6 linked regions of the Sus scrofa genome follow. The protein of the gene in region 3 interacts with the protein of the main gene of each other region in a pairwise test. Links are inferred from orthologs where the notes say so. Each region holds a gene or a part of one and is shown on either strand. Other genes may lie near its edges.

Evidence for each region.
Region 1: the proteins of AP1M1 (region 3) and AP2B1 interact in binary tests that used the Homo sapiens proteins (3 or more experiments, as listed by UniProt). The link is inferred for Sus scrofa from reciprocal best matches to the Homo sapiens genes AP1M1 and AP2B1.
Region 2: the proteins of AP1M1 (region 3) and RUNDC3A interact in binary tests that used the Homo sapiens proteins (3 or more experiments, as listed by UniProt). The two-hybrid records come from large-scale screens. The link is inferred for Sus scrofa from reciprocal best matches to the Homo sapiens genes AP1M1 and RUNDC3A.
Region 4: the proteins of AP1M1 (region 3) and AP1B1 interact in a two-hybrid assay, tested with the Homo sapiens proteins (2 studies listed by BioGRID, with this or other methods). The link is inferred for Sus scrofa from reciprocal best matches to the Homo sapiens genes AP1M1 and AP1B1.
Region 5: the proteins of AP1M1 (region 3) and ZBTB8A interact in binary tests that used the Homo sapiens proteins (3 or more experiments, as listed by UniProt). The two-hybrid records come from large-scale screens. The link is inferred for Sus scrofa from reciprocal best matches to the Homo sapiens genes AP1M1 and ZBTB8A.
Region 6: the proteins of AP1M1 (region 3) and MTF1 interact in binary tests that used the Homo sapiens proteins (3 or more experiments, as listed by UniProt). The two-hybrid records come from large-scale screens. The link is inferred for Sus scrofa from reciprocal best matches to the Homo sapiens genes AP1M1 and MTF1.

Annotation. Positions count from the first base shown.
Region 1 is NC_010454.4:39,902,027-39,907,314, reverse strand, and holds part of AP2B1 (AP-2 complex subunit beta), read left to right. Parts: intron 1-84; coding exon 85-220; intron 221-2,154; coding exon 2,155-2,400; intron 2,401-5,288. UniProt on the Homo sapiens protein: Component of the adaptor protein complex 2 (AP-2). Adaptor protein complexes function in protein transport via transport vesicles in different membrane traffic pathways.
Region 2 is NC_010454.4:18,919,013-18,924,231, reverse strand, and holds the end of RUNDC3A (RUN domain-containing protein 3A), read left to right. Parts: intron 1-323; coding exon 324-413; intron 414-521; coding exon 522-602; intron 603-780; coding exon 781-946; intron 947-1,055; coding exon 1,056-1,213; intron 1,214-1,896; coding exon 1,897-2,034; intron 2,035-2,142; coding exon 2,143-2,249; intron 2,250-2,672; coding exon of another isoform or gene 2,673-2,692; exon of another isoform or gene 2,693-3,283; coding exon 3,284-3,426; 3' UTR 3,427-3,867; downstream 3,868-5,219. Other genes in the region: SLC25A39 (solute carrier family 25 member 39), read right to left, coding at 4,825-4,940, 5,063-5,143, 5,218-5,219. UniProt on the Homo sapiens protein: May act as an effector of RAP2A in neuronal cells.
Region 3 is NC_010444.4:61,361,310-61,366,597, reverse strand, and holds part of AP1M1 (AP-1 complex subunit mu-1), read left to right. Parts: intron 1-829; coding exon 830-972; intron 973-1,441; coding exon 1,442-1,513; intron 1,514-2,109; coding exon 2,110-2,268; intron 2,269-5,288. UniProt on the Homo sapiens protein: Subunit of clathrin-associated adaptor protein complex 1 that plays a role in protein sorting in the trans-Golgi network (TGN) and endosomes.
Region 4 is NC_010456.5:46,491,810-46,497,097, reverse strand, and holds part of AP1B1 (AP-1 complex subunit beta-1), read left to right. Parts: intron 1-91; coding exon 92-197; intron 198-1,874; coding exon 1,875-2,010; intron 2,011-2,713; coding exon 2,714-2,959; intron 2,960-4,995; coding exon 4,996-5,186; intron 5,187-5,288. UniProt on the Homo sapiens protein: Subunit of clathrin-associated adaptor protein complex 1 that plays a role in protein sorting in the late-Golgi/trans-Golgi network (TGN) and/or endosomes.
Region 5 is NC_010448.4:88,952,310-88,957,597, forward strand, and holds part of ZBTB8A (zinc finger and BTB domain-containing protein 8A), read left to right. Parts: intron 1-108; 5' UTR 109-109; coding exon 110-932; intron 933-3,843; coding exon 3,844-4,013; intron 4,014-5,288. UniProt on the Homo sapiens protein: May be involved in transcriptional regulation.
Region 6 is NC_010448.4:93,838,745-93,842,861, reverse strand, and holds the end of MTF1 (metal regulatory transcription factor 1), read left to right. Parts: intron 1-785; coding exon 786-849; intron 850-2,002; coding exon 2,003-2,433; 3' UTR 2,434-2,765; downstream 2,766-4,117. UniProt on the Homo sapiens protein: Zinc-dependent transcriptional regulator of cellular adaption to conditions of exposure to heavy metals. Binds to metal responsive elements (MRE) in promoters and activates the transcription of metallothionein genes like metallothionein-2/MT2A.

The sequences.
Region 1 (5,288 bases), on a different chromosome or scaffold from region 3:
AAAAGAAAATTAAGGCCATTTCTTTGTGTTCTATCCAACAGCTTGGCACAAACATCTGTTCATGTTCCCTTTCTCTCTTCTCAGCTCTCTGTTTCCAGATGTAGTGAATTGTATGCAGACTGACAACCTGGAACTAAAGAAGCTTGTGTATCTCTATTTGATGAACTATGCCAAGAGTCAGCCAGACATGGCCATCATGGCTGTCAACAGCTTTGTGAAGGTAACTCTTTCCCAGGGATTCAAGAGCAGTGTCTTTTCAGAAATGTCTCTTGATATAGTAAGTGTCTGCATTGCAAATAAGCAACCTCTGTTCCAAAAGAGAGCCTCTAGAGAAGTACTGGCAATGAGTAGGAATGTTCGTGTTTTAAGCATTCTGTGTGCCAGCGTTTGTCATCCAGTTCAAACCATATGGTGAGCCTTCTGTCAGCAGGGCTCGGTGCATTTTTGCCAGATGGGAGAAGAAAACCAGGTGAAACCTCACTGCTTTGCCTTCCAAGGCTAACAAAGGTTGAGCATGTCTTTGTAGTATCAGTATCTTGGGGCTTTACCTATTTTATCTCAGTAGAACTATGCTTATGGGTCAGAAGAAATGGAAACTGCAGGAACTGCTATTTAATTTTGTTTTATTCAGTAGGTCTTAGAACAGTTGATGAACTTTTTTGTCATTATGGAAATTTTCAAGCATCTTCAGGTAGAGGGAATAGAATAATAAATTGCTAAGTATCAGTCTTGTAGTTTCAATAGTCACCTGCCTGTGACCAGCCTTATTTAACTTATACTCTCCATACATGCTTCCCTGACTCCCCTCCTTTCCTACTGGTTACTTTTACAGTAAATCCCAAACATATGTAACTATAGTACCATTGTCACATCTTTAAAACCTGACCAGTAAGAAATTCCTTGGAATTCTTTTGCAACATAGCAGGGTTAAAGATACGGCATTTTCACTGCAGTGGGTTTTGTTGCTGCTGTTGTGTGGCCAAAAAAGAAGAAGAAGAAAGTAAATTTCTTAGTATTATTAGATATCAAGAGTCAAATTTGTCCTATCATTAGATTTGATAAACATAATAATGAGGTTGTTCGTATTAGTTTTTTTTTTTTTTTTTTTTTGGCCACATCCGCAGTACATGGAAATTCCCAGCCCAGGGATTGAATCCAAGCCACAGCTGTGGCATAGCTTGCGACACCAGATCCTTTAACCTACTGCGCCAGGTCAGGGATCAAACTGCTCCTCTGCAGTGACTCAAGCCGCTGCAGTCAGGTTCTTAACTGACTATACCACAGTGGAAACTCCAGTTTTTAGTTTTTTTATTTATTGTTTTTTTCCTCTGTTTGGAATTCAGTTTGCATTAAAAGCAAAAATCAGACATCATTTCTAAAATGAGCTTGTACTAAACTGTTTTGAAAAATAAACAGCATGCTTTCCTCCTTAAAAAGCAGAACCAACCTAACATTTCTTTCTGGTGATGCACAGGTGGATGATAGTACCAGAAAGAATTTGGTGTCCATTTTTTGGAAGTTAGCATGTTCACAGGTTTATAATGTTTAAAGAAATTTCTTAATGTAGGACAGTTTAAGGGTTGTTCCTTCATGATAAGTATTCTATTCATATTTGACACAGATGCTAGGAGAGGAGAATGTATGTAATCAGGGTCTCAGAGGGCCCTCTCTTCTGCTTCACTCAAGGAACCCAAATCACCTTCTATATCTCTTTTGCTTTCGTGGCTGTAGGCCCCAGGTAACCAGTCCTCTTTCTCCCTACTTGGTATTTGTTGAGTGGGACACATCTTTCCAGTTTCTAATTTTTTCCTGTACCAGAATACAAGCCCTAAGACCTTTTCTATTTATAGGACAGGTCCACTAATGGCTCTGGGGGTGGTAGCATCAGCTAAGCTTTCTGCTCAGCTCTGAAATGAAACCTACAGGACACTTCTTCATTGTGTATATAAAAGTTAAATGAATTCCTAACCTAAACTCTTAGGTAGGCAACTAAGACTGTACCTTGGAAGGGAATGGTCTAAGAGATGTGAGTTCTGATGTGGAATGTAACTGGAAACCTACATTAAATGAATATTCTGTTGTGGCTTACGTACATCTGACTGTTTATTTTTAGTCACCCTGTACACCTATAGTTGTCAGTGATTGTTTTTTTAGGACTGTGAAGATCCCAATCCTCTGATTCGGGCCTTGGCAGTCAGAACCATGGGGTGTATCCGGGTGGACAAGATTACGGAATATCTCTGTGAACCCCTCCGCAAGTGCTTAAAGGATGAAGATCCCTATGTTCGGAAGACAGCAGCAGTCTGTGTGGCAAAACTCCATGACATCAATGCCCAGATGGTTGAAGATCAGGGATTTCTGGATTCTCTGCGGGACCTCATAGCAGATTCAAATCCAATGGTAATAGTTTCTGCTTTTATAAGAGAGTGGTATTTAAAATGAGTCCCTTTATTTGTGTGTGTGGGGGGGGCGGGGGTGCGGGCGTTGTTTGTTGGGGTTTTTTTGGCCAAGGCGTGTGGAAGTTCCTGGTGACGATGCCAGATTTTTAACCCACCAGGCTACCAGAGAAGTCCAGAATGGGTCCCTTTGAAAAATATGTTTAGGAGTTCTCTGGTGGGCCTATCAGTTAAGGATGCAGCATTGTTACTGCCGTGGCTTGGGTAGGATCCTTGGCCTCGGAACTTCCAAAAGCTGTGAATACAACCAAATAAATAAATGAAAGAATAAAATAAAATGTCCATCATTGAAAAGGATGTTTAGGAATTCCTGCTGTGGCACAGTGGTTTAATGATCTGGCTTGCTGTGGCACAGTGGTTGCTGGTCCAGTCCCTGGTCTGCTGCGGCAGATTAAGGATCTGGCATTGTTGCAGCAGTGGCGTAAGCCTCAAATGCAGCTTGGATTCGATCCCTGGCCTGGGAACTTCCATATACTGTGGGTATGGCCAAAAATGGAAAAAAATTAAAAAAAAAAAAAAAGAATGTTTAAAGTACGTCTTGTCATAGGCTAGCCCTGTGAAGCATGACTTATGTGTGTCCCACAGTCTAACACCCTACATGTTTCTGAGCGGAAATCCAAGCATGAAAATATAGGTTTTGTTTTTTTTTTTTAATTGAAGTATAGTTGTTTACAATATTGTTAGTTTACAGGAAAGTAATTGTTTTATAAGTATATATTTTTTCAGATTATTTTCCATTATAGATATTTACAAAATATTGAATACTGTTTTCTGTATTATGCAGTAAATCCATCCTGCTTATCTGTTTTATGTATAGTAGTTTCTATCTATCAATCCCATACTTCTCTAATTTATCCCTCTCCCCCTCCCCCTTTAGTAACCCTGGGTTTGTTTTTTATGTCTGAGTCTGCTTCTGTTTTATATATAGGATCATTTGTATTATTTTTCAGATTCCACATGTAAGTGGTATATTTGTCTTTTTTTTCACTTAATATGATATTCTCCAGGTCCATCCATGCTGCAGCAAATGGCAATATTTCATTTCTTTTTTTGACTGAGTACTATTCCTGTGTGTGTGTGTTTTCACATCACATCTTAAACCACTCATCTTTAATGGCCATTTCGGTTATTTCCCTGTCTTGGTGATAAGTAGTGCTACTATGAACACTGGGGTGAAGGGTCTTTTTTTTTTTCTTTTTTCTTTTTTGGCAGTCCTGCAGCATATCGAGTTCCCGGCCAGGGATCAGATCTGATCCTATGCTGCAGCTGTGGCAACAGCAGATTGTTAACCCACTGTGCGGAGCCAGAGATTGAAGCTGCATCCCAGGACACTGCCGGTCCTGTGTGCCACAGCGGGAACTCCTAAAATATAAGGGTCTTATAGCAAATCTTTGTATCATACTTACTTCTCTATTTGTTCAGAAACAAATTTCTTTCATTACTGTCTTAAAGAAGTTTTACCTTAAGTTTATATCAGTTTTTAAAAAGATTTCTTCAGATGGATATTTGTGGTCTTTTCTGGTGGTGTGGGAATACAACTGAATAAAAGTTATCTTTATTGCTTAATTATTGTAGTCCATTCTTCTACAGAGTACTAGGACAATTCTCTTTTTTTTTTTTTTTTTTTTTTTTTTTTTTTTTTTTTTTTGGTGGGGGCCACGTCCAGGGTATATGGAAGTTCCCAGGCTAGGGGTCAAATCGGAGCTGTAGCTGACAGCCTACACTGCAGCTACAGCAATGCGAGATCTGAGCTGTGTCTGCAACCTACACCACACAATGCCAGATCCTTAACCCAATGAGTGGGGGCCAGGGATTGAACATGCAGCTTCATGGATACTTGTTGGATTCATTACCACTGAGCCACAGTGGGAACTCCTAGGACAATTTTTTATAGCCAACCTGATTATTTTGTGAATGTTTGGCAGTCAGAACCTAATCCTTAATGTTTGGGACCTTTTTATTTCTCCTATTGACATTTAGAATTTGGCTGTATAGTGAATGGAGCAAGTCTCAAAGTGGTACGTTGGCTCTGCTAGTAACTGAAGATCATTTGAATTGAGTGATTGGTCATTAAGTATCATTACTGAGAAGATGGAGGAATTGAGTCCCTGTCTCTCCCCTTTTTCCTAATGCATACTTCTCTTGGAGGTGAATAACATTGAGCTATTCAGTGGGTAGCCTGGGAATATTTCACTGTTGAACTTTTTGAATTAGAGAATTGGAATTTGCCATGATGTAGGCCTTGGGTTTCACTTGCAAAATAACCTGCTCAGATGGTTCATCTTACTCTTTGGGTAGCCTTGGCTTCTATTTATTATCTTTCAAATTTGGTGTCTAGGTCAAAGGATGAAGCAAGCTATAGTTTTTTAAAGTTGCTGTGGTACTACCTACCATTAGAAATCCTATAGCTACTTGCTAGGCACAGAGGCAATACCGGTGTGTATGCGCATAAACCGTGACTTTTAACAGGGTGTAATTACCACCAGTATTAGAAGATTCAACCCTATCTTTTTCCCTCAAGCAGCGCTGTGTCACCTTTTTAGAATTACATAAAGAGGAGTTCCCCTTGTGGCTTAGCGATAACAAACCCGACTAGTATCAGACTAGTATCATGAGGACTCTGGTTGATCCCTGGCCTCACTCAGTGGGTTAAGAATCTGGCATTGCCATGAGCTGTGGTATAGGTTGCAGACACTGCTCGAGTCTGGCATTGCAGTGGCTGTGGTTTAGGCCAGTAGCTACAGTTCCAATTTGACCCCTGGCCTGGGAACTTCCGTGTGCTGTGGATGTGGCCCTAAAAAGACAAAAAAAAAAAAAAGTCTGTAAAGAAAC
Region 2 (5,219 bases), on a different chromosome or scaffold from region 3:
TCAGCATGTTTTTGAGCACTGACTGTATGCAAGCACGTTTTAGAACTTGTTTCCTGATTTTAAGGATCTGGGTGACCCAGTGCTTGATGGGGAAGGGGTAGTTCAGAGGGTGGAGCTCTATTCTCGGGGGACGCTTGTTCTAGTAGGTGGGAGACCCAGGCACTGTCCCCAGCGGGTCCCAGTCTGAGGGGGAGACAAATCCTCAGCTGAGTGAACAGGAAAGAGATACCTCCTTCCTCTAGGAGAGTCTGTAATGAGCCAAGAGAAGCCTTGAGGCTTCGTGGGAGGTGCTCCACCATCGGCCCCTTCCCCCCTCCCTACAGACGTTTCTATGACTCGGGAGCCATCATGCTGCGGGAGGAAGCCACGGTCCTCACCGGGATGCTGATCGGCCTGAGCGCCATAGATTTCAGGTGGGGGCTGCGTGGCGGTGGCCATGGCGATGGGGATGTTTCTCCGAGAAAGTCCACACTCCCGTCCCCTCATACCCGCCTGCCATCCTGTGGCTCCTCTGCCCCCAGCTTCTGCCTAAAGGGCGAAGTGCTGGACGGGAAGACCCCCGTGGTCATCGACTACACGCCCTACCTGAAGTTCACCCAGAGGTGAGCAGCCTGATTGTTGCCGGTGGTTGGTGGGTGCGGTCAGAAGACCGCCCTAAGGGGCGGGGATGGCGGGGGGAGGCCGGCGGCAGGGAGAATCTTGGTGCCCCCGCCCAAGCGGGCTGGCGTGGGGCACGCCAGCGGGCAGGGCCGGCAAGTGCCCACTGCTCCCTTCCCCAAGCTACGACTACCTGACGGACGAGGAGGAGCGGCACAGCGCCGAGAGCAGCACGAGTGAGGACAACTCACCCGAGCACCCTTACCTGCCGCTCGTCACCGACGAGGACAGCTGGTACAGCAAGTGGCATAAGATGGAACAGAAGTTCCGCATTGTCTACGCGCAGAAGGTGCGCGGTGGGGGAGGGGAGGGGAGCCCTGAGGAGGGCGGGGCGGCTGGGGCGGCCGCGGGGACCCCCCCTTTCCTCCTGCCACCCTGGCTGAGCCGGCGCCCCGCAGGGCTACCTGGAGGAGCTGGTGCGTCTGCGCGAGTCGCAGCTGAAAGACCTGGAGGCGGAGAACCGGCGGCTGCAGCTGCAGCTGGAGGAGGCGGCGGCGCAGAACCAGCGCGAGAAGCGGGAGCTGGAAGGCGTGATCCTGGAGCTGCAGGAGCAGCTGTGAGCGCCGCCGCCGCCCTGACCCCGTTCCTCCGCCTCCCCCAACACATCACCCCAGGGAACCCCACCATCGCCCCCGCTGACTCTAACGTCACCTTTCCCGATACCAACAGCCTGTCACCTTCATCCACAGATCCCCACCCTCGCGCGACCTAACGTTATCAACACGAGGACCCCCCCCCCAAAACCAGCTTCCCCACTTCACCTTCAATTATCTGCCACCAGCTAGAATGGCCATTACTTCTGGGACTCTTGACACTACCAAGGACCCCAACATAGCTCATAAGGACCTCTGTTCCTCAGCCTTCAACAGGGTTGCCCTTTCCCCTCTGTTCAACACCCCTCTGACCTGCAGTGTAGGCCCATCATCATCAGCCATGGTGACCCCTGACCTCACCCCTATCCATCCCTTTAACCGCTCCTCCCAGCATAACCCCCAACATCCCCTAACTCTTCATGATTCCCACACTATTCGGCACCAAGGCCCATCCCCTGACTCCGTCCACATCCTGCTATTCCCCTAACCCCGGACACTAATTCCCATCATCCTTCTGACCCCCAGGATCTGCCCCACTGATGAACATTCATACCCGTTTCTGCTACCCAGGTTTCAATCCTAACTCCTCTCCCACCTCTTGCTGAGCCCCTTCCTGGCCAGGCCTGACCCCCCCTCCCCATCCCAGGACAGGTCTGATCCCCGGTGACCACGCTCCCCTGGCCCAGGGTTCCAAGGACCTCACTGCACGCCTGGTCAACCAGTGGCCATCACTGGGGACACTCAACGGGGCCGAAGGCACTAACAACCCCAAGCTCTACCGGAGGTAAGCCCCAGCCACGCTCAGCCTGGGCCTGAGTGCTGTCCCTCCCAGGGAAGAGGGCGCCGGGTCCGAGGGCCGCTGCCTGTATACTAGCTCTCTGCTTTGCCGCAGACACAGTTTCATGAGCACGGAGCCGCTGTCAGCAGAAGCCAGTCTGAGCTCAGACTCCCAGCGTCTGGGAGAGGGCAAGCGGGACGAGGAGCCTTGGGGCCCCATCGGTGAGCCAGCACCCAGCACCCGCCGGGGAAGGGCTGAGGCCAGGCCTCGGGGCCTGTAGTCAGGCTCTGGCCACTTCCCTCATTGGCTCGGCCCTTCCCGAGAGCTTAGCACAGCAATTGGGAGCTTGGTTTGGGGTGTCATGTAGACCCGGGTGCCGATGGCGGCTGTGCCCCCTCTGGTTGTGTGAGCTTGGTCAGTGACTTCACCTTGCTGAGCCCTTCTCGTCCGTAAGATGGGGATGCCGCTTAGAATAATCCCCAGTGTTGGCACATGGTGAGGGCTCGATGGCTTTTTGGTATGGAGCCATCGTGAAGGGGCTCCTCACAGACCCTCGGGGAGTTCTTTGCCTAATTTGCTCTTATCTCATGCCCTCTGTGAACCAGTCACCTGACCGTTGTTTCCCCCTTTTCTTTGGCTGCCAGGAAGCTCAGAGCCAAATTAGTGGCTCCCTTCAAGCGAATGTCCAGGACTTCAACGCATGCATTTTTGTGTTGCCCTCCCCCTGGCTTCTCCTTGGTTTCCCACCCTAGTTTTCCTGGTGCCTGGACTCCTTGTCTTTTCTTTCTAAAACCTACACTGCACTGGATGACCCTAGATCCTCTTTGAGACGAGGCAGGCCATGGATGTGGAAGCCCGCCACACTGTGTTTGTGATTGTCCGTGTGTCTGTCTCCCCACCAGACTGTGAGCTCCGTGAGGGCAGGGACCGTGTCTCGTCCGTTCTCTGTATCCCCCGTGCTTGGAACGGAACAAGTGCTCACCGTGTGTTTAATAAATGGACAAAGAGAGAGGGTGAACCTCAGGGGGGAGACAGAGACATCAACTGACGATTACAATACAGTGTCCCCAGCTCTGTGCATGGCGCGGGCAGGTGCTGAGCAAGGGTGCGTTGCAGAAGGCAAACGCTCCAGAAATGAGGAAGGCCGCCTGGTGGGTGACCTGAGGGCTGTCCCTTCACTGCCTGCACCTGCGCACGCCCCAACTCACACACACGCAGACCGGTTGGCCCGGCCTCACCCCCCCTCTCTCCCCAGGGAAGGACCCCACGCCCTCCATGCTGGGCCTCTGCGGCTCCCTGGCCTCCATCCCCAGCTGCAAGTCGCTGGCGAGCTTCAAATCCAACGAGTGCCTGGTGAGCGACAGTCCTGAGGGCAGCCCGGCACTGAGCCCCAGCTGAGGAGTTGCCCCCGGGGGGTGCCAGCCGCACCTGCCAGGGGCACAGACGCCTGCCACCTGTCCTCAGTCCCCCAATCCAGGCCACCCTCCAGGAGCGTCTGGGGAAAGACACCCTTTGCTTCTAGCCCAGTTTAACTTCTTGCCCGAGGAGGCAGGAGCTGCCAAGGGAGGCCGGCTGGGCCCCAGAGGCTGGGGCGCCAAGGCTGCGGGGAGCTTATTCTTCCGCCGACCTTGACGCCTGACTCGCTCCCTACTGGACTCTCCTCTGCTCATCTCCCCACCCTCCTTAGGAGCTGGTGGCCCAGCCTCAGCACCCCCACCTCTCATGCCTCTCCCGTCTGTTCCTGTGTACACCGTGGAGCCACTCCGTCCTTGGTCTCCAAGGAGGTGGAGGAGGGGAGAGCCTCTGAGGCCATCAGGCAAATAAAAACCAGAGGACTGAGGGCAGCCTTGTCTGTGGGGGGCTGGGACAGGGCCCAGAACGTGGAGGGGCTGGCACCGGGGCCAAGGCCGTGCTGGACCAGAGTCCGTGTGTGCCCCGTGGTAGGAGGATTTCAGGGAGTGGGCAGCTTTCCTAAGTATCAGGTCAGCCCAGCGTGGGACCGGAACGTGTAAGGGCCCCTGCGCCCTGATCCAATTAGTAACTCATTCATCCCAGGCAGAGAAGACGCGGGGCGTCCCAGGGGGCAGGATGGCGAAGGCAGGGCCCCGTTTCCTTGCCACCTTCCTGAGCAAGTCAGCTCTGGCCTACAGGTCCAGCTCCTTCCACTAGGCCGAAGCCTGGCTGTGAAGCCACCCTCCCTCCTGGGTGGTCACTGAAAGTTTGTGCCCTTGGGGCAAGTCTCACCAGCCCTTCAACCCTGGGTCCTTACCCTGACCCGGCTCCAAGTTGTGTGTGGGGTCCTCTACGTGGGCAAGACCCGGAGAGCCAAAGCCGACATCACGGTCCCTTCTGGGACTCTTCTGTACACACTGCCTTCACCGTGCCCTGCTTCCTCACCCACCGGGCCACCCACCGCAGACCCCCCATTCCCAGAGTCACAGGCACTGGAAAGAAGTTTATCATCTTTAGACTCAAGGAATTAACAGAGGCGGGTGCAGACCACGCCAGGCCCGCAGGCTTTCAGGGGCAGGCCCGGCTACAGCAGACACACCAGGGAATGGGGGGTGCGGGTAGTTAGCAGATTTGGTCTTGAACGTGGGGGGGAGAGATGATTCACGGGGCTGGGGAATGGGGAGCAGCAGGAAGAGGTCTGGGGTGGGGGGCCTGGGGCTCAGAGCGGAGAGGAAAGAGAAACGGGGCCCCTCCCCTCAGTGCTGAGGAAAAGGCACTTGGCTCAGTCTCCTCCTGCCTCACCCCACCCGTGGAAGAGATGGGGTCCCTGTCCCCTCACTCCTTTCAAGGGCCCAGAGGCTGTTCCCGGTTGAGCCTCTGGAAGAAGCTTTTGCCGAACTCATACGTGCTGATCATGATGGCGCAGGAGGGGGCGGCCTTGACGATCCTCGGGAGGAAGCCTGTGGCGGGAGGGAGCGGCCGGGGTCAGAGGTCAGGTCCCGGGGGCCCCAGATCCACCAGGGCCTGGACACAGACAGACAGACAGACACACACACACACACACACACTCAGAGACACCCACCTGCAAAGAGCCCCCTGGTGCCCGACTCGGCCCGGATCCTCTGCAGCAGCAGCCAGGTGGAGATGGCGCGCGGGGGCGTCACTGCAAACCAAGGCTCAGTCCAGTAAGACCCTGCTGCCCGGCTGCCCTGCCCCACACCCGCCAGGGCCCCGCACCT
Region 3 (5,288 bases):
TACAACTGTGAAAACTAATAAATTAATACCTGCACATAGAGGACACAGGAGAGTAAAAATCCAAAAGCCAAGTCCCCTCATCACCTGGCAGGTCAGAGGGCACTGGTGAGCATCTTAGGTGCCCAACACATGGAGGATGGTATGGCAAGTCCTCAGCCCCGCCCTCCTGGAAGGGACTGCAAGGCTCACACTCTCCTCTCAGGCTGTTTCTGCTCTCACCTCTGACGTTGGCTCTGGGCTCTTTGAAAGCCACACACAGAGCCACTGGTTTGCAGACTGGACCACCAGCCTCCTCGCCAACCACAGGCCCACTGGCGGCCAGAGCAGTGGCCCAGGTTGTCTTAGTTAAGTCTGTAGCTGCACTAGTGAGAGCCTCTCAGATGTTAACCTATCAGAGCAGCTCCCCTCCCCAGGCTGGGCCCGACCTACACAGCCTCTCTGGGCTGGGAAACCAAGACAGGGCCCAGATCTCAAGAGATGACCAGTCCAGGGCCCTCAGGGAGCCCTGAGTCATCACCACCTACCCCCAGGGGGTGTCTGTTTGTCATTCAGCAAACATATTCCAGGCAGCAACCCTGCCTGGGGACTCATTGTAAGCCAGGCCTACCGGGCCTGCCCTCATCCCACTGTTGGGACATAATGGGACCTCCAATGTGATGAGGAGAGATGGAGGGATGGCTGTCTCAGAAGCCGGTTCCCCCTTGGTATTCAGGGCCCAAGATACTCTCACTGATTTGAGGGGCAGCTCTGCTCTGTCAGGGGTGGGCCCCAGGCAGTGGGAGCATTGCTGAGAGTGGCCTGTCAGGCCCTCACTCCTACCTCCCTTCAGGCGGCAAAAGCAAGTCCGTGGAGCTGGAGGATGTGAAGTTCCACCAGTGCGTACGGCTCTCACGCTTTGAGAATGACCGCACCATCTCCTTCATCCCACCCGATGGCGAATTCGAGCTCATGTCTTACCGCCTCAACACCCACGTGAGTGCTTCCACCCCTGCTCCTCCCTGAGGGCAGCCTCTCCTGTCTGCTTGGCTGGGTGGGAACTATCCCCATCCAGGGTGAGTCTCACTGCGAGGTGATGCCCAGGATGAACACAGCTCCCCACAGGCAGCCTGGACTCCTAGGAGCCTGATTGACAAGGCAAGGTTCCGACGTTCTGAGGGGTCAGGCCCCTTTGCTCTGCTCTGTTTCCAGGCAGCCCCAGCAGAACATCTCTGGTGATGTTTTCTGCATTTTCACCAAGGCTTGGCAGCTGCTGGATGCCTTATTCTCTATGCTCTGACCCATCCTGGCACCAGCTCTGGATTCCTCCAAGCACCCCGGGCAGCAGTGCCCCAGGCTCACACCTGGCCAAGTGGTCCCTTGCCCTGGGGCTCAGTTTCCCCTCTGTGAAGCGGGGCTTTGTAAAATCACCAGGTCTGAGTACCGTCTTCACTCTCCCCAACAGGTCAAGCCCTTGATCTGGATTGAGTCTGTGATTGAAAAGCATTCCCACAGCCGCATTGAATACATGATCAAGGTATGTGTGTGTCCTGCATGCAGCATCAGCTGGGAGTGCAGGGTTGTTGAGGGGGGTATGGGCGGCCCCTCCTGGTACAGGCCTTTGGCCTTTGGCACAGGCCCTAACCCAGGACTGGGGGCATACCGGGGCTCTGTGACCCCTGCCCCCAGGTGTCAGGCCTGTGGCTGTCATCTGTGCTGCCCCTCTCTGACCTCACACAGAGAGCAGGTCTGGGGCAGGGAGGGGTCACACCACCCAGATCCTAGGTGCGGCCACCATGGCAGTGGCCTGTGACCAAGCATCTAGGTGTGCCATCTTGCCACTCAGTGATCTCATCAAGCCCAGGCAAGCCATGGTGACACAGACATTGTCCCAGGAGGCCAGGGCTGGGCCAGAGGAAGGGATGAGGAGTCCCAAAGGCCAAGGGGACAGGAAGGCAGAGACCGAACTTCTGAAGTTGAGCTTAAGGAAGATCTCAAGGGGTGGCGTGAGGGTCAGCTCCGTGTCAGAGTTGGGCATCCCACAGGTCAGGCCAAGGGACATGTGGCCCTCGAGGGAGTAGGCAGTCGGGGGAGCTGGACTGTCTCACCTTCACCCTCCACCCTCATCTCCAGGCAAAGAGCCAATTCAAGCGACGGTCAACAGCCAACAACGTGGAAATCCACATACCCGTGCCCAACGATGCCGACTCACCCAAGTTCAAGACAACAGTGGGAAGCGTCAAGTGGGTCCCCGAGAACAGTGAGATCGTGTGGTCCATCAAGTCCTTCCCGGTGAGCACCTTTCTCAGTGGGGCGCCCCCTCCAGCCTTCCACCCACACTCACCTGCTCCCTGTGCCCAGCACAGCATGGCAACCTGACTGTTGGGGAGCCTTGCAGCTCTAACGGCACAGGGCAGGATCCCCACCTGGGGCTTTAGGAAGGTTCAGGAGGGAGAGTGGATGGAGTGCTGAAAGGAGAGCAGGCAGAGGCAGGGGGTGGCGCTGGCTCCAGGCCACCCCACCTTCCTCTTGTTTGTGAACCGGCCTATCCTCAGCATCAGGGCAGTGCCCAGCCCTCCCTCCTCCTTTCCCTCTGGCACTGCTGTTCAGTGCTCAGCTCCCCTCCAGGGGAACAGACTGCTCTGGGGCCAGACCACATGGTTTAGGAAATCCAGCACCAGCTCCAGACACAGAGAGCACCTCCTGCCTGGGCCAGCTCCACATGCTGGCATGGCCCATTGGCTTGTATTCAATCTGAGCACTTGAGCCTGGGTTTGTGGGAAGAGTGCCTGGGGAGACAGGAAGGAGAGAATGGAAGACAAGTGTGAGGCCATCACACCAGGCCATCACTGTTACGGTGATAAACATGCTGGAACACCATTTTTATGTTTCAGAGCGCTGTTTGCGTTTCTCTGGAAACTGTAGTAGCTGTCTCTGGCTCACTTTTTTGTCCCGTTTGGTCGTTTTCTTCTTGGTTTCCAAAAGCTCTTTATACATGGGCAAGATTAGTACCTTTTCTTTGACATGACTTGGAAATAGTTTTCCTCAGTTTGCTGATGGCTTTTTTTTTTTTTCCTCCCCATGGCCACACCCACGGTATATGGAAGTTCTTGGGCCAGAGATTGAATCCAAGCTGCAACTGTGACCTACCCCACAGCTGTAGCAATGCTAGAACCTTAACCCAGCAACCTGAGCCACTGCAGGTACAACACTGGGTTCTTAATCTGCTGTGCCATAGCAGGAACTCCCTCAGTGTCTTTAAAGGTACTTTAATTTAACTGTAACATGCAGAATAGTAACATATGATATGTGATCAAGAATTTTCTCCAAGAGAATACATCTGTGTATCTGGTGCCAGATAAAAGCCACCAAACACTCTTTATCCCCAGGACACCCCAAGGATCTCTTCTGCTTTTGCACATTTCTCATTAAGATGATTTTTAAATCAATGTTTTAGTAAATGGAGCCTCCTTTTCCATTATATCTTCCAGTATAGGTTGCCAGCATTCATATGGTAATTTTATATCCTGGTATCCTACTAAATTTCTTATTTGCTGTAGCTTTTCTTTCAACTTTCATAATTATTCTTTCATATCGTTCACAGCCAGGTGCAGTTTCCCCTTTTCCTCTTCTATTCTTGGGCATCTTGTGGCTTCTGGCATCTCACTGCTGGGGTTGCCATCTCCAGCACCTGTAAGTGGCTGTGGAGAGAGCAGCCTCCTGGCTTTGCCTCAAATGGAGCTGCCAGGTTTCCCTTCCAAGTATATTGATGCTGCAACTCACTCCAATCCTACTTTACTGTGTTTGTAGCACAAATGGGCAATGAATTTAGCCAAATGCCTCTTCATTGTCTATTCATTCAGATATATTAATGGGATAGATCTTGAACTATCCATGCATTCTGGCGAGCTTCATGGTATATTTTCTTTCTTTTTTTTTATTACTCAAATGAATTTAGCACATCTGTAGTTGTATAATGATCATAACAATCTGATTTCACAGGATTTCCATCCCACAGCCCAAGCACATCCCCCCACCCCCCAAACTGTCTCCTCCAGAGACCATAAGTTTTTCAATGTCTGTGAGTCAGTATCTGTTCTGCAAAGAAGTTCCATCTGTCCTTTTTTCAGATTCCACATGTCAGTGAAAGCATTTGATGTTGGTGTCTCATTGTATGGCTGACTTCACTTAGCATGATAGTTTCTAGGTCCATCCATGTTGCAAAATAAGCTGGTATTTCATTCTTTTTAATGGCTGAGTAATATTCCATTGTGCATATGTACCACATCTTCTGGATCCACTCCTCTGTCGATGGACATTTAGGTTGTTTCCATGTTTGGGCTATTGTAAATAGTGCTGCAATGAACATTGGAGTACATGTGTCTTTGCGAGTAGTGGTTTTTTCTGGGTAGATGCCCAGGAGTGGGATTGCTGGATCAAATGGTAGTTCTGTGTTTAGTTTTCTGAGGAATCTCCATACTGCTTTCCACAGTGGTTGCACCAATTTACAATCCCACCAACAGTGTACTAGTGTTCCTTTTTCTCCACACCCTCTCCAGGACTTATTGTTTGTAGACTTTTGGATGATGGCCATTCTGGCTGGTGTAAGGTGGTACCTCGGAGTGGTTTTGATTTGTATCTCTCTAATCATGAGTGATGTTGAACATCTTTTCATGTGTTTCTTGGCCATCTGTATGTCTTCTTTGGAGAACTGTCTGTTTAGATCTTCTGCCCATTTTTGGATGGGGTTGTTTGTTTTTTTTGGTATGGAGCTGCAGAAGGTGTTTATAAATTTTGGGGATGAATCCCTTGTCAGCTGATTCACTTGCAAAGATTTTCTCCCATTCTGTGGATTGTCTTTTTGTGTTGTTTAGGGTTTCCTTTGTTGTGCAGAAACTTTGAAGTTTTATTAGGTCCCATTTGTTTATTTTTGTTTTTGTCATTAATACTCTGAGAGGTGGATCTGAGAATATGTTGCTGTCATTTATGTCAGAGAGTGTTAGGCCTGTGTTTTCCTCTAAGAGTTTTATAGTGCTGGTCTTATATCTAGGTCTTTAATCCATTTTGAGTTTGTTTTTGTGTATGGTGTTAGGGAGTGTTCAAATCTCATTCTTTTCCATGTGGCTGTCCAGTTTTCCTAGCACCACTTATTGAACAAGCTGTCCTTTCTCCATTGTATATTCTTGCCTCATTTGTCATAGATTAGTTGGATGTAGGTGTGTGGCTTTAATTCTGGGCTTTCTATCCTGTTCCACTGATTATATTTTCTTTTTAATGTCCCATTCATTCTGTTGGTTAACATTGTTTGCAGG
Region 4 (5,288 bases), on a different chromosome or scaffold from region 3:
CTGCCTTCTTCTCGTTCTTTTGGAAGTTGGGAACTGGGAGTCACCCCCTGGCAGGGTGGAGATGGATCGCTCACATTGCCTCCTTTTTTAGGGGAGATCTTTGAGCTGAAGGCAGAGCTGAACAGTGACAAGAAGGAAAAGAAGAAGGAGGCGGTGAAGAAAGTGATTGCATCAATGACCGTGGGCAAAGACGTCAGGTGTGTGGAGTAGGCTGGGTGGCAGCTGGAGGTGGGTGATGGGGGCTTTCTAGCATGGGCCCAGCCTCAGGTCCCTCCTTTAATATGTCCCTAAGGACCCACATCTCCCTTCCTTTAGCTCCTTTCTCAAACCTCCTTTCCAAACAGAAGGTTTGGTGTGCAAAGAGATCATGTGCTCAGATGCAGATGGGATTGGGCAGTAATGGAGCAAGTGAAGTGGACAAGGTCGAAAAGGCACCAGACAATGCAGTGCATGTGGTGTGAACCCTATCAAACTCTAGAGGGTGCTGCCCGCTGTGGAAATGACCCCAGTGGGGCCAGTCTTTTGGTTTTTAGAAAGAGTGGGGAATTCCTGGATTTTTCTTTGCTTTCTTTTGTTTTTTGTTGTCTTTTTAGGGCCGCACCCACGGCATATGGAAGTTCCCGGGCAAGGGGTAGAATCAGACCTGCAGCTGAGGTCTATACCACAGCCACAGCAATGCCAGATCCAAGCCGCAGTTGTAACCTATGCTATAGCTTGCGGCAGTGCTGGATCCTTAACCCACTGAGCGAGGCCAGGGATTGAACCTGAATCCTCATAGATACTAGTCGGGTTCTTAACCCACTGAGCCACAAAGGGAACTTGATTTTTCATTTTAAAAATCTCTGTTTTAGATTGTCACACGATACCGAACAAACAAACCCTGTGCAAGTAAGACACACCTGCAGGTTTCTTGTTGAATTTGTCGTCAGTTTGCAGCCTCTGGTTTGCATCTGTTACCACAGCAGATCGCATACAGAATGACAGCCCCTCCTTTACTCATGCATCTCCCCAGCCTGGAACGTCCCTTCCCCTTTTGCGTTTACCCAGCTGTCTCCTTCATCACTCTGGCCCACTGCCCTGAACACATAGCATTTGCTGTGTTCCTATTGCTTGGCCCTAATTCTAGAGTGCCCTCTTCTTATGTGCGCTTGAGCCTCCCTGCCCACCACATTGTCAAGTCCTCAAGGACAAGGGCTAGATTTTACAGCAGCTCAACACATAGTGTTTGAGAGTCAGCAGAACACTTTTAGATATATTTTCCTGGAAGTTCCATACAATTTCCATACTGTAGGTAAGGATGATCTTTGGCCAAAGAAGCCAGAAACAGTGACTGTCCAAATGGTCACTTGGTTAATGGCAGAACCATTACTCACGCTCAACCCATCTGAAATCCAGACCTGGGTGCTTTCTTCCTTCCCTGTCCTTGGTGTCCTTGTGGTGCCAAGCTCCATGCCTTGTAGGCCTGGACACTGGCCTGGAGCAGCTCCCCATCTGGGTCCCTCAGCAGGATCCCTCTGCTCATACTTGTAGTGCCCAATCCCATTGCCACACTCAGCAAGGGACCTCCTGACAGCACCACAGGAGAAGCAGCTCTACAGAGAAGCCTGCTGAGGACAGATCAGCAAAGGGATCGGGTGTCTGCTGGAAAACTGGTGCAGCCAAAAAAGGGGGAAAAAAATCACCCTTTGGAATTCATTTTCTACCAGTAGATATTCATGGTAAAAGCTGTTGCCCTGCCTTTTACTAGGAAGACCTGTTATCTTTTCCTTCCCTCCTTCCCACTCACCCCCCTCCGCACCCTCCATTAACTGCCTGAAAAATCTTCTTTTCTCTTCTTTGGCCTTCCTTGCACTGACACCGCTTTGACCTTCCAGTGCCCTCTTCCCCGATGTGGTGAACTGTATGCAGACGGACAACCTGGAGCTGAAGAAGCTAGTGTACCTGTACTTGATGAACTATGCCAAGAGTCAGCCAGACATGGCCATTATGGCCGTCAACACCTTTGTGAAGGTGAGCAGGAGCTTGTGGGAGGAGGGGTGTAGCTGCTTACTGCTCCCCCCGGTCTCTTAGGGTGGGGCACTATGGCTCTGGGCCTGGGCCCTCTGGCTCCCATCCTGGGGACTCTTCCTCCAGCAGAGGGCCCCAGCTCTCTTCAGAATAGCAGATGCCACAGACCCTGCTACTTCACTCCATGTGAGGTCACCCCAGGCCTGTTGTTCCCCCTGTTCCCTGGGGTGAGCCACTGCCCTGCGTCATTTGCCAGCACAGGATGCAGCACGCATCTGAGAGCTGTGCTCCCCTTCTAGACTTTGCTCCTTTCTGCATTTTCTGTCCTCCAGATTGGGGAGAAGCAGGGACTTGCAGTGTCAGCTCTGCACTTTATAACCTTAGCTCCCTAATTCCCATTGATGCCCAGATAGGTGAGTCCTAGGGCCTAATTGAAATATTAGATGCAGGATGGGTCATGGCTCTGCTGTGTGACTGGGTGAGCTCCCGACCTTGCTGAGAGCCTCAGCTCCCTCACCTGTAAAATAGGAACTGTATTCTGTGTCTGCTATGAGGATCAAGGAGGATAGTGCAAAGCCTAGCATCTGGCAGGTGTTAGATGCCCATATATGGCCCTTGCTTTTGATGTTGTTGGCCACAATTGGTGGGAGATCCCATGGTAGCTGTATGATGTTGCTCACCTCGGCCAATGGCTGATTCCCCTTAGGACTGTGAGGACCCCAACCCTCTGATCCGGGCTCTGGCTGTGCGGACCATGGGGTGCATCCGTGTCGACAAGATCACAGAGTATCTGTGTGAGCCACTCCGGAAGTGCCTAAAGGATGAGGACCCCTATGTGCGTAAGACAGCAGCTGTGTGCGTGGCCAAGCTTCACGACATCAACGCCCAGCTGGTAGAGGACCAGGGCTTCCTAGACACTCTTAAAGACCTCATCTCTGATTCTAACCCCATGGTAAGTCACTGCCACCCACAGTGTCACCTCTACCTCCTCCAGGGTTCCTTGGAAGGCCTTGGCTTGACCCTCCACCAGGCAGCTTCAGTTCCTGGAAAGAGCCCTGCGGGGTGGGCCAGCTGTTCTCCTGCCTGCAGTGGTTTGGGCACCATCTTTGGAGTGAGCTAGACCTAGATGCTCTTGTCTGCACGGCTCTCTCTAACAAGCTTTGCGACCTTGAGCAAGCTGCCTAACCTTCCAGAGCCCTCTTTTCTTCATCAGTAAGATGAATCTATTTCTGCATGGTTACCAGGAGTGTATGAGGCTTTATCTATGAAGGTATCGTGCCTAGCATAGCCTGGCACACAGTGGATATGCATCTACGACTAGTGCCCTCCTTCCCCTTCTAGTCACTGTTGTTGGTTTTTTTGGGGTTTGTTTTGTTTTGTTTTGTTTGTTTGTTTTTTTGGTCTTTTTGTCATTTCTTGGGCCACTCCCGTGGCATATAGTTTCCCAGGCTAGGGTCTAATCGGAACTGTAGCCGCTGGCCCACGCCAGAGCCACAGCAACGCAGGATCCGAGCCACGTCTGCAACGTACACCACAGCTCACTGCAATGCTGGATCCTTAACCCACTGAGTGAGGCCAGGGATCAAATCCACACCCTCATGGTTCCTAGTCAGATTCATTAACCACAACCACATGGTTCCCTGAGCCATGACGGAAACTCCTAGTCACTGTTGTTATCACCGTCCTCTCACCAAGACCATCAATGAGCTGTGAATGGGAGGTGCTTCTCCCTTTCCCCACTCTTTGCAGAGTTAGAGATGGTTACCCTTGAAGTAGTGTAACCGGAGAAAAGGCACCAGGATGCGTTGGGAGGGGACCTGGTCTCCTCGGTTTGGTGGGCAATTCAGTAGGGCCATATTTAAAATGAAATGTGGGAGTTCCCGTCAGTGCCTTAGTGGTTAACAAAGCCGACCAGGATCCATGAGGATGCGGGTTCGATCCCTGACCTCACTCGGTGGGTTAAGGATCTAGCATTTCTGTGAGCTGTGGTATTGGTCGCAGACTCAGCTTGGATCTGGCGTTTCTATGGTTGTGGCGTATGCCAGCAGCTACAGCTTTGATTCGACCCCTAGCCTGGGAACCTCCATATGCAGCGGCTGTGGCCCTAAAAAGACAAAAAGATTAAAAAATTTTTTTAAATAAAATGAAATGTGGAGTTCCCTTTGTGGAGTAGAGGAAACTAATCTGATTAGTATCCATGAGGATATGGGTTTGATCCTGGCCTCATTCAGTGGCTTAAGGACCTGGCATTGCCATGAGCTACAGCATAGGTCACAGATGGGTCTCAGATCCGAAGTTGCTGTGGCATAGGCCCCAGATACAGCTCTGATTCGACCCTTAGCCTGGGAACTTTCATATGCTGCAGGTGCAGCTATAAAAAGATTAAAAAAAAGGCAATGTACAACCTGCCTGGCCCAGCTGTCCCATTCTGTGTAACACTAAAACCAGTCACACACAGGAGCCAAGTGGCCAGTACAGAGATGGCCACTGGAGCTCTGCTTGGTTCAAGGAAGGTTGAACACCACACAGTACACATGTAAAACCAGCTGCTCTGGTGGAAATGGGTTGCACACCCAGAGCTTCACAAGGCAACCCTTCTGTGCTCCAGCCCAGATCTGTTCCTAGCAGCCTTGAGTGGCTCTGCAGGAACCTTCTAGCTCTGAGAAGCACAGGTGTCAACCCCTACAGAGAGCTGTTGGAGCTGGTAGACTGGTACTGCTGTTAGGTAGCAGGAGTGCTTTCTCTGGCCAGGTTTGGGACTAGAGCTTTCTTATCTTGTGTTTTTCTTTAATGGCAGGTGCACTTTTAGTTTCAGCTTACAGAGGAATCAATCGTAGCATGAGCTTGAAGTGAGTCTCGGAGATCCAGACCCTGCCTATAGGGTCTTCCAGGATATTTGAGCTCTGTCTGGTCCACATCATTAGCCCCACTACTGCCCTGGCCTGCAGACCGCACCCCAGCCTCTAACCCCTCCACCCTCTCAACCAGGTGGTAGCAAATGCAGTGGCGGCCCTCTCCGAGATTGCTGAGTCTCACCCCAGCAGCAACCTGCTTGACCTGAACCCGCAGTCCATTAACAAGCTGCTGACAGCCCTGAATGAGTGCACTGAGTGGGGCCAGATCTTCATTCTGGACTGCCTGGCCAACTACACTCCCAAGGATGACCGAGAGGCCCAGAGGTGAGAGGCTGCCCCTTGTTTACAGCCCCGCCGGGCTTGGCCCTAAGGGGCTGCAGCCATGAGCTGGGCTCCAGGCCTCTGGTGGGCCTCTTTCCAGGGCCT
Region 5 (5,288 bases), on a different chromosome or scaffold from region 3:
GTGGCCCTACAAAGCAAAAAAAAAAAAAGTTTCTGACCGTCTTTTCACTTGACTCAGAGAAGCCGTGTTACTCTGATTTTGGTAACTGCTGTGTCTTTTCCTCTTTAGAATGGAGATCTCCTCTCATCAGTCTCACCTCCTCCAACAACTGAATGAGCAGCGCAGGCAAGATGTATTTTGTGATTGCAATATTCTGGTTGAAGGAAAAGTCTTCAAAGCCCATCGGAATGTATTATTTGCTAGTAGCGGCTACTTTAAAATGCTTCTTTCGCAGACTTCCAAGGAAACAAGTCAGCCGACCACCGCGACGTTTCAGGCTTTCTCTCCCGACACTTTTACCGTCATCCTGGACTTCGTCTACTCTGGTAGGCTCTCTCTCACGGGTCAGAATGTCATAGAAGTGATGTCAGCTGCTAGCTTCCTTCAGATGACTGATGTCATCAGCGTTTGTAAGACCTTTATTAAATCTTCGCTCGACATCAGCGAAAAAGAAAAAGATCGCTATTTCAGCCTCTCCGATAAAGATGCCAGTTCTAATGGTATAGAACGTTCCTCTTTTTATAGCGGTGGTTGGCAAGATGAAAGCAGTTCTCCACGCTCTCACCTGAGCCCCGATCAAGGGACGGGTATAATAAGTGGGAAATCTTGGAGTAAGTATAATTACCATCCAGCCCCCCAAAGGAATACTCAGCAGCCTCTGGCCAAGCATGAACAAAGGAAAGAGTCCATGAAAAAGTCCAAACATTTGAGGTTGTCACAGCCTTCTGAAACAACTCAGTATAAGTCAAGCAAACGAGAAGCTCGAACATCTGATTCTTCCAGCCACATTTCCCAGTCTGAAGAACAGGCACAGATGGATGTGGAAATGGACTCTACTCCTGTTGGCTATCAGTACGGTCAAGGAGCTGATGTCACATCAAGAAGTTTTCCAGGTACCCACAAAGAGACTCCATCCCCTCAATCAGGTTCCAAGACTCCTCTGTAAATCAATCCTATTTCAACATAACACCTTTAGGTGTTATGGGCAGTTGGACCAAGTGATTCTTTTTTTAATGAATGAAATCTATTCATTAAATGTTAAGTTAATTTCTTTAATTAAAAGTAATATTGGATGAATTTAAGGAGGTCAAAAGAATAGCGTGCTGAGGGTGGAAACCCACGATTTTCCAAACCTACATCTGCGGGTGATTAGATTACTGTTAAGTGTTTAAAGCTCTTTCCTTAAATGGTTCAGTCCTTAAGACACATATTTTCATTTGAAATAGTTGTGGGTTTTTTTTTTGTTTTTTGTTTTTTCTGAATTCAGTAGGGAGGAGTTTTGTTGTTGTTGTTGTTGTTTTTCCTTTTTTTGGCTGCCCCTACAGCATATGGAAGTTCCTGGGCCAGGGATCGAATCTGAGCTGCAGCCTAACACCACAGCTCTAGCAAGGCTGGATCCTTAGCCCGCTGCACCACAACAGGAACTCCTTTACTTGTATTTTGTAATTTTAGAAAAATTCCAAACATATATTAAGAGAGGATAGTATAATTAACCCCCATGTACCCATTACCCAGTCCTACTCATGACCAGTCTTATTTAATCTGTGCCTCTGCCCCAACACCTCCCATTTTTAAGCAAACCTAAGACATCATATTTTATCTTAAATATTTCAGAATATGTCCCTAAAATGTAGTTTTAAAAAAACCTGCAGAGAGTTCCCGTCATGGCTCAGTGGTTAACGAATACAACTAGGAACCATGAGGTTGTGGGTTCGATCCCTGGCGTTGCTCAGTGAGTTAAGGATCCAGCGTTGCCATGAAGCTGTGGTGTAGGTTGCAGACTCGGCTTGGATCTGATGTTGCTGTGGCTCTGGTGTAGGCCGGTGGCTGCAGCTCCGATTTGACCCCTAGCCTGGGAACCTCCATATGCCGCGGATGTGGCCCTAGAAAAGACAAAAAAACAAAAAAACAAAAAAAGAACCTGCAGGAGTTCCCTTCACAGATCATTGGTTAACGAACCTGACTAGGATCCATGAGGATGCAGGTTCCATCCCTGGCCTCGCTCAGTGGGTTAAGGATATGCTGTTGCCGTGAGCTGTGGTGTAGGTCACAGACGTGGCTTATATCCCACGTTGCTGTGGCTGTGGTGTAGGCCAGCAGCTGTAGCTCTGATTCAGCCCCTAGCCTGGGAACTTCCAGATGCCACAAGTACAGCTCTAAAAAAGCAAAAAAAGGAGTTCCCATAGTGGCTCAGTGGTTAACATGAGTGGAACCATGAGGTTGCAGGTTTGATCCCTGGCCTTGCTCACTGGGTTGGGGATCCAGTGTTGCCATGAGCTGTGGTATAGGTTGCAGATGCAGCTCAGATCCCGCGTTGCTGTGACTCTGGTGTAGGCTGGTGGCTATAGCTCTGATTGGACCCCTTGCCTGGGAACCTCCATGTGCCGCGGGAGCGGCCCTAGAAATAGCAAAAAGACAAATAAATAAATAAATAAACAAAAAAGCAAAAAAACACCCAAACCAAACCAAACAAACCCCCTACAATACCATTATTATTGTACCTGAACAAAATTAGCAAATCTTTAATATCATTAAAGCCAATCAATATTTACATTTCCCTGGTCGTCATATAAATTTTAGACAAAAATTTGGTTGTATAGGTAACATATTTAAAAATAATAGGCAACCTGACTGATTTTTACTAACCATATCTTCCTGTAGGATATAATATGAAAATACATGAAATTGTATCATATTGTAGAGCTTACTGAAAATCCTGCTGAGCTCTATAATGGGCCAAGGAAGACAAATAACAGAGCAAAAATGGAAAATCTTTGTTGCATTTTATTTTTCATTTTTGTTTTGTTTTGTTTTGATTGTCTGCACTCTTGGCATATGGAAGTTCCTGGGCCAGGGACTGAATCCAAGCCACAACTGTGGCAGCACTGGATCCTTAACCCACTGCACCAGGCTGGGGATGGAACCCAGGACTGCAGCAACCCAAGGTGCTGCAGTCAGATCCTTAACCCACTGTACCACAGCGGGAACTCCTGTTGTGTTTTAAAGCAGCAAAAATGTTATCCTTTCTTGGGCTCTGAACTGTTATAATTCTGGGTTATTTAAATCTTCAGTAATGACCAGCTATTAAATTGATGAGATTTGCCTCCAATCACAACTAACATTTTGAATATGTATGAGTTTTAAAACAAAAAATTAAAGATCCTAGAAACTTTTTCATTTTACAAGAAAAGTAGCACAACTGTATGAAAAGTAAAGGCAGGGGGATAAATGCATAAATAAATAATTATTTAATAAGTAAATTAATAAAACAAGGTACTTAGAATCTTTAAAATCCAGTACTACCTCTTGACATTTAACATCTAGGGACTCTTGGAGTTCCCATCGTGGCTTAGCAGTAACGAACCTAGCTAGTATCCTAGTATCCACGAGGACATGGGTTCATCCCTGGCCTTGCTTGGTGAGTTAAGGATCCGGCGTTACCATGAGCTGTGAGGTAGGTTGCAGATGCGGCTCGGATATCACATTGCTATGGGTTGTGGCTGTGGCTGTAGCTCCAATTCGACCCATAGCCTGGGAACTTCCATATGCCACAGGTGCAGCCCTAAAAAGCAAAAAAAAAAAAAAAAAAAGACAAAATCTGTCCAGACTTTGTAAATATCTCCTGAGGTTATGATTCCGTAATAGGATTATCACCTTTGACAATCTAGTCTTTATAAAATTTCTTCCTTTTTCCTTTCGCTTATCTTTCTGAGATTGGACTCACCAGCCCCTTTTGGATTCTTGAAGTTATTAGAATTTTGATTATGAACCTTCTGGTGACTTAATCAAACTGTCTCCTGACAGATGACCTGCCCAGGATGAGGTTCAAGTGCCCGTATTGCACACATGTGGTGAAGCGGAAGGCAGACCTCAAGCGGCACCTTCGTTGTCACACAGGAGAAAGGCCTTACCCCTGTCAAGCTTGTGGGAAAAGATTTAGCCGGCTAGACCATCTAAGTAGCCATTTTCGAACAGTATGTATATGATTTTTTCATCATTTTACTTCTTAGGAAATCCATGCGTTTATCAGCTTTAGGATAATCTGATTAACTGAGGGAAATCTTTTCATAAAACTCTACCATATTAAAATTTTGTTCCCATTTAATGTTTTTACTTTACATATAATGCATAAATTCATATATTTTTTAAAAATAGATTTTTATTCTCCTTTTGAAACCTTAAAGTAAGAAATAGTCTTTTGAATATCCATTTTAATTGACTTGAAATCTAATGTGTTTTATATCCTGGTCTTTTCAGGATATAAAATGAGCCAACAACAATGTAAACTTTAAAAATGTTTTAAATGTCTAGGTCAAAATCACCATTTCTGGGAGTTCCTGTTGTGGCTCAACGGTAACGAACCTAATGGCATAAGGATGCCATTCAATCCCTGGTCTTGCTGAGTGGGTTAAGGATATGGCACTGCTGTGAGATGTAGGTTGCAGACACTGCTCAGATGCCTCATTGCTGTGGCTATGGTGTAGGCTGCGGCTGTGTTGTAGGTGACAGATATGGCTCAGATTCCATCCCTGGCTTGGGAACTTCCATATGCTGCAGGTGTGGCCAAAAAAGAAAAAAAAATAGTAGTCTCAAATGATATGAGTTTTTTCTGCTTTTTTTTTTTTTTTTTAAAATAGCAGGTGATCTCATGAATTTTCATTGGTTCATCATATTTGGATCCATAACAATTATTATTCTTTTTGATACTCAGATTTTCATGTGTGCAGTGGGACACTCAAAGCTGGCTCTTGTGTCCTTTTGTCACAACTCTGTTAAATTTTCAAAGTATCCTTGTTCTCTGGCTCCAAAAGAGCCCAAGGCTCACCTTGAACATCCCCTGCCAAAAAAAAAAAAAGGAATCAGTTATTTCTCAAAGAAGCTTTGGTACCTTGTAGTGGGGAATGAAATTAGAAAACAAAATTTAGACACCTAGGGTGCTCATTGTTATAAGGCATCATTCTTTTCAGATTATTTCTGAGCTAGAAGATATATATTTTTAAAATAATGAATTCATGATCATATTTTCTATTTTATAGTATTTCACTTGATTTCTTTGTCTTCGTAACTGTATTGGAATCTGTATGAATCTGTGTCAGAATTGTACAGGTTTCGTGGGGTGGTGGGGGGGGGGGGGGGGGGGGGTGGGGGTGGGGGTGCGGCTGGATGCGTGTGGTGGTGGGGTGGTACAGCTGATTATTGGAATCTAGGGAGGCCAGAAATAGCAACAAAACAAATAAAGACAAAACAAA
Region 6 (4,117 bases), on a different chromosome or scaffold from region 3:
GGAAGTATACTAAAGTAAGGGGTGATTTCTGGGCATACCTTTATAGCCCTACTTAGTAATCATATAAATACCTCATGTTTGCTGAATGCCCTCCATGTGTCCCAGGCTCCACCTGCATCACCTCAGTTCTTCCTCTAGGGGTCCTTTGGGAGGGTCTTTGGTTGTCATCCCCATTTTTACAGATGAAACTGAGACTCCCAGAGGTTCCGTTACTTGCCTGACCTCAACCACTAATAAGTGGCTGAGCTTGGACTTGAATCCAGGTGTAGCTAAGTCCAGGGCCCACCCTGGAGCACTCGCCCTGTGCAGCTTCCAACACACTGCCCAGGGCCTTCACAGGAGGTCTTCTGCCTGTGAGAGGGACTCAGCCAGCTCTGCGAATGCAGCTTAGTCCTTGAGGAAAAAAGTACTTCCCAGTCTCCTAGTAGTATTGGGGCACGGTGGGGAGTGGAGAGCTTAGGGGGGAAGCTAGCCCTGAGAAGACCATCTGCTTGAGAAAAGCAATCCTGAAGGAGGTTTTGGGTGCACAGAACCTACTGGATTAGGCAGCTGGGAGACAGCCAAGGAGTAGGGGACAAAGCCTGCTACATTGTCAGGACTGAATGTCAAACAGTGCCGTGACCTCATGTCCGAGCGCAAACAAAACATCACTCAGTGCAAAAATCCCTGAACACTGAGGGCTTCTGTCCTCTTGGATGACCATTACAATTGGGGAGGCTTCAGGTCCTTGGAGATCTGCCATATTTGAGTGGCCATAAATGTGATTTTTTTTTTTTTTTTTCCAGCAGCAAGCATCTAAAGTTGAGAAGGTGTTTTTTACCACTGCTGTACCAGTAGCCAGTAGCACAGGTATGTAATTCTGTGTTAGCTTTAAAAGGAAGTCAATTCTCTGGGCCCCTTGAGGCACAGTTAGTTAATTATTGCTTTGCCCCAGTTTTTAAAAAATTTTAAATTAAATTGATCACATTGTATTTTTTTCACTAGAGTATTTCATATTCTCACAACTGTTGAAAGCTACTGCACTTACGGCATAAACACTACCTTTAACTTCTTTAACTAGTAACGGTTCTTTCCCTTTCAGATACAGCCTTTAACATAGCCAGAAAAAGTTTGAATCACAGTTCATGCCAAAGAGAGCAGTTGTTAACTCATTGGACTCTTTTTCTAATTACAGTAATGAAGAAATAGCGTCTGAGATCTTAGAGAGCTAAAAGGTCCTTTTTCTCAAGCTTTTTATAGATTAAAGCAACTAGGCCCCGAAACGATGAAATGACTCCCCGAGAGTCATACGTGAGTCTGTGGCAGAGCCTCAGGCCTCCTGATGCCCATTCTGTTCTCCTACCCCTGGTCTCGAGCTCTTCTGAGACATGCAAAGCCTATCCGAATTCAGAGTGTGCCTGTGCACCGCACACACACACAAAAGAGGGGGAATGTGTGTGCATACAAGGCTGGCTTGTATCAGAGAGCCGGGCTGCACAGCTGAGCAGGGTGTCCTGAAGGAGGTCAGAGCCTCTTGGGCAGGCAGGGGCCAGGGTCAGGTGCAGTGCGGCAGAGCTCTGCCCTCGGGCTGGCCCTCAGGTGTAAGCCCGCTGGAAACACTGCCTGGAGGTGGAGGTGTCAGGAGAGGAGAGGAGTGAGCTGGGTGTTCAGAGCTAAGTTCTCCAGAAGACTTTAGGCAGAAGGAAGAGCCTCTCAGCCAAGAGCTATGCGGAGAGTGTCGGGAAAAGGGAGGTGTCCGCCGTGGCTGGCATGGAGGGTGGCCAGAAATGAAGCTGGAAATACAGGGTGCATCTAGATGGTGTGTGGCTTCTCTGCCTCAGAGGGGATGGGGAGTGTCAGAGGCTTCTCACTCGAGGAGGAACAAAGCCTGGAGCATGACATCCACCCTTCCCATCTTCCTGCCTCCATGGTGCTCAGCTCTCACCTAGTCTTACACCCTCCTGTCCCTCTTGCCCTTGCCCTGCGGCTACTTGAAGAGCAGTCTCTCTCGCCTCTCTCACAGGCAGTGCTGTACAGCAGATTGGCCTCAGTGTTCCTGTGATCATCATCAAACAAGAGGAGGCCTGTCAGTGTCAGTGTGCGTGCCGGGACTCTGCCAAGGAGCGGGCGGCCAGCAGGCGGAAGGGCTGTTCTTCCCCGCCCCCTCCAGAGCTGAGCGCCCAGCCTCCTGATGGGCCAGGCCTGAAGCTACCACCACAGACTTTTTCCCCACCCCCGATCCCCCTGTCGTCATCCTCCGCTGCATCCTCCTCCTGTGAGCAAAGCAGACAAGCAGTGACTCCTTCAGACCCTCCGACAGAAACGTTACGTGCCATGGATATGTCCGAGTTTCTGTCTCTCCAGAGCCTGGACACCCCATCCAACCTGATTCCCATTGAAGCACTACTGCAGGAAGAGGAGGAGATGGGCCTGACCAGCAGCTTCTCCAAGTGAAAGGCCCGAATGTGCTCCCCTCCAGGAACAGAGGCCAAGCAGGAAGCAGAGGTGCGGTGCCTGTCCTCATGGGGTCAGCAGTTTGAAGGATGAAGAAATCTACTGTTTGAAATCCTCACCTTTCAGACCTGTTTTCTTTATTCATATGTCAGGAGCATCCATTTTTAAGGAACTGATCTTTGGAAAAAACAAAAAAACAAACAAAAAAAACAAAACAAAAAAAAAGCTAAGTTATAAATGAACTGTTTGGCTGCACTGTATGTCACTTTTGCTTATTGTCATGTGAACTTGGAAATTAAGGTTACTCGTATGCATAAAAATTCTAAATGAAAGGGTGTGGTTTCCATCAATCTGATGCTGCCCATCACTTGCACTGGGGTCTTTGTGGTCTGGGCAGTAGAGTTCGGCGTGTCGGGTGTTGCTCCTCCCCATGCGTCTTTTGAGTCTGAGGCCGAAGCTTGCTTGGAAGGCCAGACCCTCGCTCCGTCAGAGAAGGAAGTGGCAAAGCCAGGTCAGACAGCTGTGAGCTGGACAGGGATCGGGTGAGCTGGTTTTGTTGTCTGTGCTTGGTGTGGTGGAGCTCAGGGCGACTGTGGCAGGTGTCATCCTGCAGCCAGCTACGGCACAAACAGGCAGCTAAAAGGCTGGCCTGAGGCCTAGGGGACAGCCTGCTTCCATCAGGGCCCTAGGCAAGTCGTTGATAGCTCCTGTCGCTGACTGGTGCCTGTGCAGAGCAGGCTGTAGGAACTTGATCAGTCTTTGCCTTCCCGGCATATTCTCTCTCTCTCTCTCTCTCTCTCCTCTCTCTCTCTCTCTCCCTCTCCCTCTCTCTCTCTCTCTCTCTCTCTCTCTCTCTCTTTCTCTCTCTCTCTTGGTTGCCAGGGCTTGCAGATCACAGTGAGTTTTTCTTGGGGAACATCCCTGCTTTGTCCTGGAGTGGACGGGCAGTTTGTGGCCAGTTGCTGGTCGGCGGTCTGCCTTTTCTGAATGGTATCTTCTTCCTCAGAGCAGAAGAGCTGCATTTTGCTCATCAGGAGAATGTGCGGCTTTCCAGGAGTTTTGTTCAGGCGGCATGCCCTCGGCAGGCGGGTGGCCTGGTTTGGGGTTCCAGCCAGGCTTTTGGTTGTCCCCTCCCATCTCCACCCCTGACCCCTCTGGATTTTGCATACAGCCTAGTACAGTGCAAAGAAGGATGTGACTTGCTCAGCTTAGTCATATGATTTCTAAACAAAAAAAGGAAAAAAAAAAACAAAAACAAACAAAAAAAAAGCAATGATCTTCTACTCAGGGTAAAATAAAAAAAAAATTCCCCTTCCACCAAAAAGCCTGAAATGTTGCAATAAGTTATCTCATTTGGAATGTTTCATTAAGTTGTGTTATAGGAAAAAAAATTTTTTTTTGATGATTTGTGTATAGAATTATATCCATCTGTCTGCCTTTGGCTCCCAGTTATTGCCTCTTAAAATAAAACATAAAATACAATCCACACTAAAATGGAAAGTTTCTCTCAACTGGCTGTGTTAATGTAGTCAGGAGTGCTCACCATGTGTACTGAGCTCAGAAACTAGGCATGGCCTCTGCCTCCCAAGGGCCCCCTCCCTGCCTCAAGTGAGGAAAAGTGTTCTCACAGGCCTGCCCTTCTGAGTCAGTGATGTCGGGCAGAAAGCAGCCGTAATTTCGCCTT